2 linked regions of the Coturnix japonica genome follow. The protein of the gene in region 1 binds, or shares a complex with, the protein of each later gene. Links are inferred from orthologs where the notes say so. Each region holds a gene or a part of one and is shown on either strand. Other genes may lie near its edges. The genes, in order: PPFIA1 and PPFIBP1.

The links.
Region 2: PPFIA1 (region 1) and PPFIBP1 share a complex: the UniProt entries of both Homo sapiens proteins name them as parts of the cortical microtubule stabilization complex. The link is inferred for Coturnix japonica from reciprocal best matches to the Homo sapiens genes PPFIA1 and PPFIBP1.

The regions. Positions count from the first base shown.
Region 1 is NC_029520.1:6,955,352-6,962,577, reverse strand, and holds part of PPFIA1 (liprin-alpha-1), read left to right. Parts: intron 1-4,700; coding exon 4,701-4,802; intron 4,803-5,471; coding exon 5,472-5,636; intron 5,637-6,480; coding exon 6,481-6,555; intron 6,556-6,969; coding exon 6,970-7,071; intron 7,072-7,226. UniProt on the Homo sapiens protein: May regulate the disassembly of focal adhesions. May localize receptor-like tyrosine phosphatases type 2A at specific sites on the plasma membrane, possibly regulating their interaction with the extracellular environment and their association with substrates.
Region 2 is NC_029516.1:62,676,956-62,684,631, forward strand, and holds the start of PPFIBP1 (liprin-beta-1), read left to right. Parts: upstream 1-3,532; 5' UTR 3,533-3,669; intron 3,670-7,676. UniProt on the Homo sapiens protein: May regulate the disassembly of focal adhesions. Did not bind receptor-like tyrosine phosphatases type 2A.

The sequences.
Region 1 (7,226 bases):
TTCATTCCAGAGCAGTAAAATTATTAACTGTAAACGTTTTAATTGCACATTTAGAGTGGAGCATCATTAATGACAAAGCCCAGAAAGGTCAATCCATAAAGTGAAAGTCAAGAATATTCGACTGAAAGAGAACTAGAATGATAAAAGAAGCTTAACTTTAATATGTATTGAATTTATTAGTAACTACTCATTAAACTATCTCAGTGTCGGTGGCTGGAATGTGAAAAAATTGTAATTGTTGAAGAAATTTGCACCTGTGTTTTAATAGCGGAGTTTGGTATTTTTTGTGAGCTACTTAAACCTCTTAAGCAAAATGAGGAATAGGAGAGGAGGGTGGATATTTTTAAAGGCGGTGTTTACTGCACTGTTCTTACCGGCAGGCAGGTTCTCTGCCAGTTTGAGAGTGAAAGATCTTTTAAGTTCACTCTCAGGAGTCTGACATAACCATATCTGTGTTTGATGCTTACTCATTGGGTGAAAGTAATCTCATTGGGTGAAAAGCAAATTCTTTTTTTATACATTCTAGGCTAATTTTTGTCTTTCCATTCTAGCATGCCATAGATACTGGAAAGGCTGAAAGTAATCGGATTTATTGGGCTGGATAGGCAAAGCGCTGCTTACGTTGGTTATTGTTTCCTCTGGGGTTTCTGCATTTTCTTGGAAGGCAGGATTTTAATGATCAAAACATGCAAGTGCTTTTGAGTTGTAGCTCTGCTCTTGAATTATTAAATAATCCTGTGAGCTGAAAAAGGTGAACTGGTGTGAGTCAATAGCTACAAAACTTGCTTGCTGGTACTTGACCCCTCCAGATTCTGTTAAACAGTTCTATTAAATGTGTATTTTAAAACCAGTTATGTTGGGATATTGGCCACTGCTGCTGTCTATAACCATTAGTTTTAAAATGAGTTGGCTATTAAATATCCTGTTAAGTGTAGATATTTAGGTTTACTTTGTTGTATTTATGACAGTTCTCATTTCTGTGTGCACAGTGTTTGGAGTAAGCATGGATTGCATGTAATATGAATAACGTCATTGAAACTTGTCACATATTTACCTTGGTTTCTCATCCCTGATGGCCTGGGTTGTTCCCCTGTTGTTCTTACCATATTTTCAGCATATTGGATACTTGTGTAGGTTGTTTGATGTGCAGATTACAGAACAGAATGTTAACAGTAAAACAGAACGTTACTTAAGGATTAAATAGGTAAATATTGCTCACATAGTTGGGGCAGAGATGTTCCTAGAGGTGCAACAGTTGCATCTTCATCCTTGTATTGCCAGAAGATATTTTTTTAATACATAATATTTCCTTGATGAGCTAAAAGCTTTTCTTGCCCTCTTATCCTTAAAGTAAGTTTTATAGTCACCTTGTTACCGTTAATCTTGAATCCTTAGTTGCTTGAGTGGTGTTTGTGTTCTGTGCAAAAATGTCTTATGTTTAAGCAAGTCTCAAGCAACCCTACTGTTCTCTGCAGTTATCATAGAAAGGGCATCCCTGCTGTACAACCCATGTTATATCATCTTTTAAGTAGTCAAATATAAGATCATACATTGCAATTCTACAGGCTTGACAGCTAGATCAGCTGGTGCTACTTGTTGGAAGAATGTCTGTGGTGTTTAGAACTGGGGGGTGAAGGTCAGTTCTTTTTAATGAAGACATATAGAAATGTTGGAATATGTGGATAAAACCCAGAAAATATATTACTGAACAGCAACAGAGCTAATACTTCTGAGTTTAGTTTTCTGCTGAGTTTTCTTTTCTGACATTGAGTGTCGTTTGGTTCAGAAAGTTACTTTTTTGAGTAAGCATTTCAGTTTACTACATGGGTTTTTGCCAGTGCACTCTAAACAACAGAGGATATTTATCTAGTATATTTGGCACACTGTTTCTTGTAGTAAGTGCTCTGTCGGGCTTATTCTGAGTTCCCACTCCTGTCAATTTCAGAGTGGAGTATTTATTATTTTGATTGCAACTGGAAGCAAAGCAGATCTTCAGTTCTGAAACTTTCAAGCTTCTCTTTATGTACAAAGCAATATGGTATTTGGACAAGTAAAAAAGCTGCTTATGAATTTTCTTGTTTCTTGTATTTGCTTCTGTACATTGATTTAGTGCCAGAGAAGGTGAGATAAATCAGAATGTTTTTAGGTCATGAAGTTGCAAAGTTTCCTTTCGAACTGCTTGAGGAAATCACAAATTATCTACTGCTGAAGAGAGTGATTTAAACTAGAAAGGACATGTCTTTTGGCAGCATCAGCTGAAACTGAGGACACTTGAGTGTTCTTTATGGAGCAGCTTATGGGACTCTAAGCAAATACGTTTTGTAAAAACAAACAGCAATGAATGTATTATGCAATGCTAGAAATACGTGTCAGTCTGTTTATGGAGCAGCAGTATAAATTCCCATGTACATTGTTCTTCTTGGGTCGCCTCGCAGTGTGATGGTTCGTGTCAGAATTATGATATATTTGTGCTACAGTTTATATTTGCACAGGAGAATGCAATGGAACAGAACTGTCTGTAATTATTATTTGAAGGGTGAATCAACTTCCTTTGAAACATACACTGCTTTTCTGTAGGCAGAGCTCATTGTTGTCCTCAGCAACATTTTTATTAATGCCATACAGTGATACTAAGTTGAGGACAAGTGGCAAAACAGTGTCTGGCAATCCTTACTGCTTTCAGTGTTCTGTCCTGAAGAACAGAGATAGTCTAGAGGAATGTAGAGCTCACCATGTCAGCCTGATGTCCTTTCTGAGTCTCCATGCTTCTGGATTTTGATGTTGGCACTTGGAGGCATTTTTATTTGTTTGGAAAACGGGGGAAAAGAGCAACCCATAAAGTAAGTTTGTATCAAGCTCTTTTGGAAATACTTTGAGTCTTGTACTTAGTACTTCTAGTACTTCATTACAACTTGAAAACAGTCAGTTGCATAATATACAAAGATAAGTGGGATGGGCCTGTGAAGAACTACACGTTTAGAACCTCGGCTGGGTTTACCTGTGCTTCCATCTGGAGCAAAAGAGATGCATGCTGTCATTTGCTTGGGAGTCGTGGAAAGTCCCACAGAGTTACTGGGGGTGAGCTAATGATGCTCACAAATTCTGACTGGAATATGCATGATAAGTTTTTATTTAGCAGGAGTGGTTATGATGAGGGATTCTCTATCTGTGGTGGTGCTGTTTTCTGTTCATGACAACTTTTAGCACCTGCTGTGTTAGTAATCCTGAAGGAGTTCTCTCTAGGCAATATATCGTGCAAAAGAATTCTTTGTCATGTATGTGTTTTAGATTAAAGCATTCTAAACCAGTCTTTTAATTACTTCAATTAAGACGTTTTTAGGCTGCTTGTTTTAGCTTCCAGTTAGAGTGAATGGACGTACTAGTATAAATAGTTGATGTGTCCTTTTGTTTTCAGCATGGCTTTTTGTCACTTTGAATTTTACTACAAAACAGCTCCATCTTAAGCCTTTACTTGATATGCAGCTGTTGCCAGTTGAGCAGCGTATCTTGCAGAGTTTGGAAAGATTAGAGAAGTAACTTTTATGCAGTGTATTTACACAGCATATTCTTATTGTTACCTTGATTGTCTTAGCAGTGCAACTGTACTTATGGGCTTTCTAACAGACATGATTTATCTTTCTCTTTTATAGAAAGTAGAAAAATAGAGAAGACTAATTAGTTTACTAGCTTTTCTATCTTCTGTAATGTTCACCAGCTACTGAGTTGGCTGATGTGTATTTTCTTATCCTAAGTGACATAGTTAACAAAAGCGGTCTGTTTCATATAGCACTGTCCTCTAAAGTATGACCTCATTCATGTTTAGGCTTACTGCTAATAATTGTTCTTAATGTTTCAGATTACACCTGAAATGTTACCAAACTAAGCTGGAATGGAATTCTCAGCATTTACCGAATGATACTATGTAGTTGTATCTTACATTGTATCCGGATTGTGCTCCTTCAGTTGGTCCAATGCCTTTTATGTTTCTTGTAACATTGTTGCTAGAGAATGGAAATAGTTTAGGATATTGTAGCTATTCCAGTTGCGCAGTAGTATCTCTTTGTATCAGAAAACCCAAACCTTAGAAACAATATGCAAGTGCAATAGAAACAGGCTTTTCTCTTTGTTGAACTGAAGGGAGGTTGTAGTGAGCTGGGGGTTGGCCTCTTCTCTCGTGTAATCGATGATAGAACTAGAGGGAATGGTTTTAAGCTGCGCCAGGGGAGATTCAGGCTGGACATTAGGAAGTATTATTTCTTGGAAAGGGTAGTCAGGCATTGGAATGCACTGCCCAGGGAGGTGGTGGAGTCACCGACCATGGGAGTGTTCAAGAAACGTCTGGATGTTGTGTTGATGAATGTGATCTAGCTGGGAAGTATTGGTGATGGTTGGACTGGATGATCTTCCAAGTCTTTTCCAACTTGATAATTCTGTGATTCTGTGAACAGGGTTACCCTAACTCATGTAATTACCTGGAAAGACAGAAGAAGGTTATCATAGTACCGTTCCAGTGTATTTTATTGTCACTTTATAACTGTTTTAAGCATTGAAACTTAAGCCTGCTTATCGTGACTGTACAAATGTATTGGCTTTAGAAATCTGAAATGAATTCTTTAAGAAATTCCATCAAGTGTTCATATGAATCCACTCTTGCTACATCCTAGGATTTAATGTATTTACATTTGTCTGGTTTATTTCAGGAATTCGCAGCGCTTACAAAAGAGCTAAATGTATGCAGGGAACAGCTGCTTGAAAGGGAAGAAGAAATTGCTGAACTGAAAGCTGAAAGAAATAATACAAGGGTTAGTTCCTTGTCTTCTCTCCAAGATCGTTGGTTTTCTAGCATCCAATGAAATGAAGGGGGGGAAAAAAAAGGATATTGAGTTAGAAAAGCTCAATGCTTTCTTACCTTGCTATTTGCACAGGGGTAATTCTGGGGGTGCAAATGTATGTTAAGAAGGCCTGGAAGCTTATGTATGGCTCCAAATATTGCTGTGCAGAATCAGGAAAAAGGCATTTAAGATCACAGTACTATCTGTTATTCAACTCTCTTCTAGTTACAGATTTGAAAATATATCGTGCTCAAGATTAGAGGAGTTGAGTGGGCAAGCTGTAGTGGTCTTTTCCATCAGATTACACAGATTCTGCCAGCAGAAAGTTAAGGGTATTTCATTTGTATGTCCTTCAGACAAGCATGCTGTTCTTCAGATTAGAGGAAGAACTGGAAAGGGTCAGTTAAGTAGAAACCTGATTTTAAAACTACATAGAGTATAGGGAATTCGTTAGCTCTGATATCACTTCTAGTATGGGTGAAATGAATGAAATGTTAATAAAATGCATCCTTAGACTTGGTATAATTAATGGTTGCTTGAAATTTAGACGTCAAAATGCCATGTTTTTGGAGGCACAGTTTTCTGTAACTCTGTAGAATGGGAATAAAAATTGTTGCTTTTTTTTTTCTTTTTTTGTAGCTGTTACTGGAACATTTGGAGTGTCTCGTCTCCAGGCATGAGCGGTCTCTCAGAATGACTGTCGTGAAGAGACAAGCTCAGTCTCCAGCAGGAGTTTCTAGTGAAGTAGAAGTTCTCAAAGCACTAAAATCTTTATTTGAACACCATAAAGCCCTTGATGAAAAGGTAATAACTATGCTGCTTCATGTTTTCCTTCTTAGTGTAAACCATACAGTTGTATATACTTGTTATATTAAAGTGGAGACCGTACTAAAATACTGTCAATAACTGTGCTCCCAAGATAAGGTGTTATATTGCAGTAAGCTTATTCCATCATTCTGTCAAATGTGCTAATATTGCATCCAAACCATGCTTGGTTTATATATTTGTTGGAGCAAAGCATGTTTGTTTACCTGTATAATATCAGGATTTAGTCTTTTAATTGTGTAATACAACAAGTGGACTAGAGAGAACAGGAGGAAAGAAATCTGCTTACACTGAGCTATTAAATAAAGCTGATTTAAAGGAGCTCCGCCCTTCAGCTGTACCTGATGTTAGAAGCAGGCAATGCAAATGGTGAAACTTATTGTGAATTTTGCTGCCAACTCATAGTTTGCTGAACTACTTTTGTGAATTTGTATATAAAGTCTTGCAGGTTATTTTCAGGAGATATATATCCTTTCTTCCTTGTAGAGAATGAGGAAAAGCACACATGCTTTGTACCTTACAAAAGGGTGGGTAAATTCTGGATTTGCTTAATTCTTGCCTATGTGTACAGGTCATGCTGGAATATAGTATGCTAATGATTGAAAAAAGAAGAAAAAACTAGATTGTGAGACACTCGTTTATCTAGATATAATTCTTTTTGGTAGTTCCTGTTGTAATTACTAGTGGCTTGAGATTAAGCTGATCTCTGAATGTAGTGAAAATAAAGCACTGTTTGTAACCCGAGAGTGTGTGACAGAATGACAGTGTGTGAACTTGATTTCCTTATTTCAAATAGTTGATATCACTGAAATGACTCTTTCAGGTAAGAGAGAGGTTACGAGTAGCACTTGAAAGATGTAGCTTATTGGAGGAAGAACTAGGTACTACACATAAAGAGGTAAGTTTCTTTTAAAAGTATTCTTCAGGTGTGCACTGTGTTTAATCAATACTTGTCATTTATTCAGTTATTAAAGATTTTCTTTCAATTTTGTGCTTTTAATTTTTACCAAGTGGAGTTGACTGTAGTTTTTAATTCTGTAACTATGAAAGAGCAGAAGGGGAGAGAGGGGGGAAAAAAAAAAGAAAATCAAACTTGAGAAAAACAAACAAAATAGTTTCTGTGGTTTTAGAACAGCTGCTGTTGGGGAGCAGTGGCATATTTTTTGAGTACTTGTGACATATTTTCTTAATACATACCTTGCAGTGAAATCAGTAACTTTGTTTTGCTCCTTTGCTTTTGCAGCTGTTCTTTATATTGCTATTGAGATGGAAATTAAACTTGAAACTTACATAAGCTTTTGTTTTCTTTTAGTTAATGATTCTGAAAGAGCAAAATAATCAGAAAAAAACGCTTCCAGATGGGATGCTGGATATAAATCACGAACAAGAAAATACACCAACTACAAATGGGAAGGTAAGGGCTATTTGCTTTAAGCTGTCTGATTATTTTTATTATTATGTTAAGATTAGCCAGAATATTTTAATTGCAAACCATAATAGAAGATTATGAGTGAAGATTTAATCAAAAAGCCTGTTTAGGTTTTTGCAGTTTATCTCATAATAGAATTA
Region 2 (7,676 bases), on another chromosome or scaffold:
AAACAACCCCGTGCACAGGAGCAGATCGGTGATTTCCTACATGGCCTTCTTTCTTCTGAGAGACTTAAACTCAGAGAAACCTCAGAGCTCCTCGTGTCTTTCTGGCCAGCAGAGCCAATCCGAGGCAGCATCCTGTCTGTGAGCACAGCAGGGCATACAATGCGAGAAGCTTTCTTACAGCATTTTCAAAAGCTGAGCTGCAGGAAGAGGCAGTGACAGGACGGCCAAGGCCACAAATTTGACAGTTCTTGGAGCATTACATACTGAGGTTGCTGTGCACTGTCCATGCTCTTAGCACCTAATCTCCTCTGCTTTCTTCCTCTCATTTTTAGTAAGAGATTGGAGGGGAATTTAAACACGTGAAGGAATGTAAAATTGTTGATTTGACAGCTATTAATGGTTTGTACAGAGCTTTGTTCTAGGATGTGATAGATAAGCTCAAGGTTGTGGCTCAGACAGCTGTCTCTGTGATAGCTGAGGCTTTAACAGTTGGGGTACCTCGGGTAGCTGAAAGCCAGGGCAGCTCAGACAGCACAGCTACAGTGGTTGTTCAAAAAGCAAACATTCCCAAAGTGGATGTAAAGCTGAGCTTCTGCTGAGCAAGCAAATCCCAGCTTTGTCAAGCAAAATAAGCCACCCTGATAGAAACACGGTTCTCCTGCATGAGTGCTGGTGCCGCTCTGCCACCAAAGGGCAGCTCTCACTGCAGCCCTAGCTGACACTGCTGTGCCAGGGGACACAGGAGCAGAGGCCTGGCCCCAAAACACCTTGACACCTTGCGGGGTGACCTCATTGCAGCCTTTCAATACCTGAAGGGAACTTACTCCAGGAGGGGAGTAAACTCTTGAAAGGGCTGACAATAGCAGGACACAGGGGAAATAGTTTTAAGTTAAAAGAGGGAAGATTTAGGTTGGATGTTAGGGGGAAGTTCTTCACTAGGAGAGTGGTTAGCCCTGGAACAGGCTGCCCAGGGAGGTTGTGGATGCCCCGTCCTTGGAGGTGTTCAAGACCAGGTTGGACGGGGCCCTGGGCAACCTGATCTAGTAAAGGTGTATGTTTGGTGCCCTGCCAGGCAGGGGGGTTGGAACTACATGATCCGGGAGGTCCCTTCCAACCCGGGTCATTCTGTGATTCTGTGACTCAGCTTTGAGGTCAATGCTGGGCTGGGAAGAAGGGGAGCAGCTTGCTGAATCCACTTTTTAAGCTCTCCTAAAATGAAAGCACATGTGCAGCATTGGTGTGAAATTACCACCTGTGTGGAAGGAGATCTCTCAGCACTCCCAGCTGTTGTGTTTTGGCAAGTGATTTAGGTCTAAATGTAAAATTTCTGGGGCCCAACAAGGTGGTGAAGTTTTAAAGCAAGTGAAATAAAGGAGAACTGGCTACAGAGTGCACTGCCTGTTGTTGTAGTTAAAGAGCCCAGCCCATAAGCCAGTATTGATATCAAGGAATGGGGCTGATGATGGCTGTGCTTTGAAAACCAGAGGAGGGCAAAACTGAAAAGTGAATCACTCCCAGTTAACCGTGGGTCACTTAAACTGTGCAAAACATGATAGCGATGCCTGTGAGGGCGTGCTAAGTATAAGCACACTTAAAACTGTTTTAAACAATAGGTTTATCACTCAGGAGTGAAGCTGAGGCAAAAACACTGAGAAGATCCAGCGCAGATTTAATAAGCATGCTGATAACTGATATTTTGCACTGGGTTTAATCTGCTCTCAGAGTTGCTGAGGGTGGACAGCACAGCCCTGGTCTTTTACACGCTGCTTTGCATCAGCAGTCCTGGGGGGCTATTCCAGCTGAAAAATAACACTGAAAGAAAACAGTCATTTTTCCACTAATTCAGATGAGCAGAATGGGAAGCTGCTGGTCACTAACGCCAATGCAAAGGAGGGGCTGGCAGCACAGCTGTAGCGCTGCGGGACACGGCTTAGTGGGGATGAGCTGATGGTTGGACTAGATGATCTTAGTGGTCTTCTCCAGCTTTAATGATCCTATGATTCTAGTCTATGATTCTAACATGACGAGGAGATAGAGTGATGACAGGAGCTGGAGGAGCTGACATGCAAACCAAGGTCCTGTGTTGTACAGCGCTGTGGATATATCAAACACTCCAAGCACCACCTGCAGAAGACAGTGTAAGACAGTGTCTGTTGTACCGTCAAAATGCCTCCAGCTGCTCTTGAAACTCTAGGCTTACCACCGCTTACTGATCTGTAAGTGTTATGACTGCAAAGAGGGGAAAGATCTTTCCCTCCACCTCCTCAGGCAGTGAAAAATGCTGGGAAATGCTGCAGTTTGTCATCATCTCCCATGACCCTCACGGAGGGACAACTCAGATACTGTGTTTTCACAAAGGTAGAGAAAATCAGCCTTCCCTTGCAAACCAGCCTGGGGCAACAAGGGGTAAGCTGTTCTGGGAGATGAGAGATAAGCAGGCCAGAAAACCTTATCAGAGATTTGCCTTAACTTGCAGAGGTATTTTCTGTAACGCAAAGGCATTTTCTTGGACTGATAGTTGTTTGAAAGCTCTGCCCGCTCAGTTTGCTTTCAGGTGGATCTCACTCATATGCCGTCCTAACAAAGCCCTTCTGAATTAGGTGCTGTAAGAAGAATCTTTGCTTTCTGAATTAAAGGATTAATAAAAATGGAAAAGGAATTAACAGAAATGAACAGTTGACTCAGAAAGCAAAGCCTGCTGAACACTGAGCTCCAGCCGGGATTGAAAGCTGTCCCGGGTGTTTGTTAGGATGCAAATCCAGCTGCAGTCAGCCCTGAGATGGGAAATGGATGGAGAGCAGGACAGGGAGCCTCATGTTTGAAGCCAACAGCAAGATGAGGGGCAGCACCAGCCTTGATGGAATCAACAATGACTCAAGAAAATGAGCAAAAAACAATCGCCAAAATGGATGTCACAGGGTTGAAACTTGCAGTTGACAAGCATTGAGATGGGGGAGCTAAAGGCCAGCAGGCAGGGCCAGGGATTAGGGTCGCACAGCTGCATTTACTCCTTTTCTTGCAGCCTGTTCAATCTGTGATGTGCAGCAGCTCTGCGCCCTATGCCACAGGTAGGTAACCAGCCATAAGAATGTCTTTAGATCAGCTTCCCCCTGCGTGTGCTGTGCTTGAACAGCAAGCTGCAGGCTGCGTGTTTTGCTGAGAACCCCAAATCCTAGCTTTCCACACTATAGAATAGAAAGAAAACCACTTTTTAAGAAGCCGTGTTCAGAAGCGAAGCACGACCGAGTCACTTTTTCCACATACAAAAGCATCAGTCCTCGGAGGAGGGCACGGGAGGAGCAGCGTCCCTCAGCACAACCCCACAGCCCGATGCTCGACACTGAGGCTCAGACGCCCAAATCCTCCCGAGGCGCGAAGGCGGCGGGAGGGACCCCAGTCCCACCGCCCCCTCCTCCTTTCCCCGTCCGCCTCCTCCTGCAGACTGACTGCCGTCGGGCCCAATCGGCTCCGACCCGACCCGGCGCTGCCGCCCGCCCCGTCGGGGAAGCCCGGCCCCGGGGCGGGGTGTGAGGCGAGCGCCCGGCGCGGGGCGGCCCCGCTGGGTCCCGGCCGCCGTGTGCCAGGCGGGGTGCGGGCGGGGCGGGACGGAGGCCGCCCGGAGCCGGCAGAGGAGGAGGCACGGGAGCCCCGCGAGGGGTTTGGACGCGGGTAAGGGGGCACCGGGCGGGAGGAGGGAGGCGGTCCAGCACCGCGGGGGGGGTCTCGCCGCGCACCCTCGCCCTGAGGAGGCGCAGGGCCCGCATGGGGTGGAGGAGCGCGGGTTCCAACATCCCGGCTGCTCCGGGCCGAGCCCAGCGTGCCCCGCTGCATCCGGCGGGGCGGGCTGTGCCCTGAGCCGCTGGGAGTTACGCTGTGCCCGGGGAGCCGTGCGGGGCTGCGTCCCTATGGGCGGGATTCGGCGGGGCGCTGCGGCTACAAGTGGTGGGGAACTTCGGCCGGGAGTTGTGTCCCGAGCGGGAGAGTGCGTTTGGATGTAGGGCCTGGGGTTCCGGTGTCTTGTAATTATTTCTTCTGAGACTGTTTCTTTTAGGTCTGCGGCTGATACGGGCCGAAATAGCCGTGCTGGCTCACGCCCTGCTGGGTGCAGCCGTGGTAGTGAAAAGGTGCTTTGTAGATGTTTGCAGGGGGAAGGAGAGCTGTGCTGTTAGTGCTCCGCTTCGGTGTGCGGTCCTGGGCAGAGGTGCTTGGGACGCAGGTTCTGCCCGCCCTACTGGTGCTGGTTGTATCAGCCCAAAGACGGATAGAACCGACAGCAGGACGTGTAAGCGTGGTGTGGATCGAAATGGCAGCACGACCGAGCAGCGTGAGTGCCTGCATTCCAAAAATGAAGCAGCAAAAATGGGTCACCCAGAGCGAGAGTCTTTGTGCTTCCGTGATCGAGTGTGTCTGACAGCAAGAGGTTCCGGTGTGCGAAACCCAGATTTATTGCTCCCATTAAAGATAGTGGCCATCGCTTCAGATTTATGTTTGTGAAAGGCAAAAGTGGTTTAGAATTACCATAAAAACCTGAGCATGGATCTCATGGATGCAGCATGCACAGGTGGCAGAGACGTCCCACAAACCAGGTGAGCTGAAGTCTGTTTGAGGTCTCAGCTCCAAATGCAGTGGGTGTTTTGGTCTCTTGGTTTCTCTATGTCAGTAGGAAACGAGGAGCCGCAGCGCTGCACAGTTTGGGTGGAAGCCATCCCGGCAGAGATGATAGGATTTAGCACAGTTTCTTAAAGAGCTGTATGGTGTAGATCAGCTCCTAGCAGCAGGGGGATCGTTCGGCATTTACGTGAGGGTGACAGTCGCTGCGTGTCGTATGGCTCATGCTTTAAGATTGCTGCTGCTGTGCCTGGAGTACAAAGTTGCTGCTGTTCTCCTCCACGAAGGAGTTGCACGTGTTTGCCTGGCTGCAGAGTTGGGCCTCGAGGAGCCCTCTGTCTCTATAGCAGCACTGCTCGTGTTTTGAGGCACGCTGCCTGTGGAGCGGGGCACTGATAGGTGCTCCACTGCCGGGATGGCCTTCCAAAGTCAGATAATGGCAGGGGCGCCAGACAAAACACATGGGGCCAGATTCATGTGCTTTCTTGGTGAGCTTTGGGTTTTGCAGTTTGTCTGAAGAACATTTGAGCTGTCCTGTCTAGTGTGCACATATCTGCAGCAGGATAAATTGGTGAGTAACGTTTCTGCTTCCACTCACGGTGGAGTGCCTTGAGGTCGGGGGTGTCACACAAGGCAGGAGGCTCTGCTGAGTGTTATCTTCTTTTGCTATGAGTCTTCTTTCTGCTGCGGCCTGTTCTGCCTGCTGCAGTGTAAAACACGCTGTGGGAAGCGATGTTGTCCTGATGAGGAGGCCTGTGGAGGTGTCGTGGGAGGCCTTTCTTGCAGTAATTGGTGTTCCTGGAAATACAGATACTCTGGGAGACTGAGACTTGTTCTGCTGTGGTACTGACAGCCTGGTTCCATCACTTGTCCGTGCCGTGGGGGACAAACTGCTTTCTGCTTACCAGGCAGGTCAGGATGGCGTGAAGACATCTGTGTGAAGACATCTGTGTGAAGATGTGCAGACCCCCAGCGTTCTGCAGGTTGTTTTGTGTCTTCTTGTGCACAAATGGGGCTTCCGTGGTGTTTTCATCTTTCACCACATCAGGGAATCAAGATGGTTTCAGCGAGCGGAAAGTTCTTCCCCTGAAGTAAGAGGACAGAAAGCTTAGTCACTTTCTTAAGAGTGATGTGATGGCATCAAGATGGACCTTTGGCTTACTGGGGGTGCGCAAGATAGCACTGCTATCTAATTTAGCTGAGTTCTGCAAACCCAACTGATAGCTTCTGTGGTGCTTCGTATTAGGTCTCTGTATAGGTGAAGGAGCATGGGGTTATCTGGGCTATGGCTCTGATAATGACGGTCCAAAACATTCCCTTGACTCCTGTGGTGGGGGAAGAGCAGTTCAGGAAAGTAAGTACCCAGTTTGGAGGGAGGGTCTGCTAGTTTGGAGTAGTTCTTTGTAGAGAAAGAAATAGCCCAAATATTTGCCAGGATTTAGAGAGATAGTGGAGTGTCTTGGAAATTCTTGTGGTGTTAGAATTGAGGAGAGCCCCTGTGTCCCACTGCTGAATCTGTGGGCATTTTGGCAAGGTGCCGGTCCTGTGCCTCATCTCACAAATGGCCATTAGGTTGGCATACCCACGGTGGCTTCTTCTTGTCTGTACGACCTTTGTTATTTTCTGCCCTCAAAGCAAAACTCTGGTGTAGTTGCTTCTTTAAGGTTATTCAGATGTGTCCTGGCCCATTTTTGTATGGCCTCACTACATCCATAGCCTTGAAAAATGTGGAGTGGGTTGATTGGAAGGTTCAGGCAGGTTTTGTTGTGTTCACTCCTCTTATGTAGAGTGTGCATACAACTGTATGTTAAGAATAACTAAAAACACTTAGTACCTTAATAATAAAACCGATTAATGCCTTTTTATACTCAGGCTGAGCAACTCTCCCTTCTTCCCCCCCCTCCCCCCCAAGTTGTAATAGTGAGATCCCATTAGTCATCTCATTAGCAACTGTGCTCTTGGGTGCAGTCCAAGAGAGGTAAACTACATCGCCTACATTGTGTTTACTGCTGGTGTCTGTACCCAGGCGGTCACTTAATGTTTATTGAGCATGTACTATAAATTCACACCCTGTCCTGCCCTGTGATCACTTTGTTTTCATGCCCAGAGCTGAGCTGGTGTTCTGCAGTGTCTCCTTAACAGAAATACCGTGTCTTTTTCTCCTTCTTCACCCACCAATCCTTGCATTTGCACTGACTATTCTAGCTTCAGTAAGATAAGGGCATCAACCTGCCCTTGAGTCATGGTAGGAAAATGAGGAGTGTTGCTGGAAGATTCACTGTTGTCATTTAATCATTGGCTCTGGAATCAGTGGCTGTCACTGCTCAGGTAGCTCTTTGGAGGTGGCTGATGTATAAAGCACTATTTGCAGCCTGTCCTAGGAAAAGCTGCATGTTCCTTCTGTGAGATCACATCTCCCACCCAGTTCTTGAGAAGTCAGAGCCGGAATTCAGGCTTGATCTTTATGGGTAACAGTGTTTCTCTTGCTGCAGGGTTGTTTTCCAAAGCTGTTACATCTTTAACTTCATTCCTTTGCTGTTTATGTTAAGTCCTAACAGCCATCTCAGTGGGTTTTTCCTTGCTCTGAAGACTCTAGCAAGGGTGTTCAGTGATGAACGCTCTGCAAGGTGCAGGGAAGCATGCATCTAGTTTCTCTTTTTCACACGTTGGTGTATGTTTGGTCCAGCTTGGGCTGAGGATAGTGGATGTCTGTCATGTTTCTGACACTGCTGCCTAGATTGTACTTCGCTCCTGTGTAAAGGTTGGAAGTTTCACTTAATAGTTCAGTCATCACAGTGGGTTTGTTGTTGCTTGCCCACAGTTTGTGTTGCCCCTTCTGTGGGCATGTATGATTTCTCGATACCTTTAACTTCCAGAGTGTTTTGTTCCTTTCTGTCTTCTGTTATACGTGAGGGAAATGCTGCGTGTTAAAGCTTTATGCTTTTTCCAACTGCTGTGCTTCTGTTTCTGTACAAAGGCCGAGATAAACCAATTAGGTAGAAGAGATGATTTCTTTCCTCGGTGTTAAAAATACCTAGGTACAGGTCTCGACATTGGCTGTAGCTATA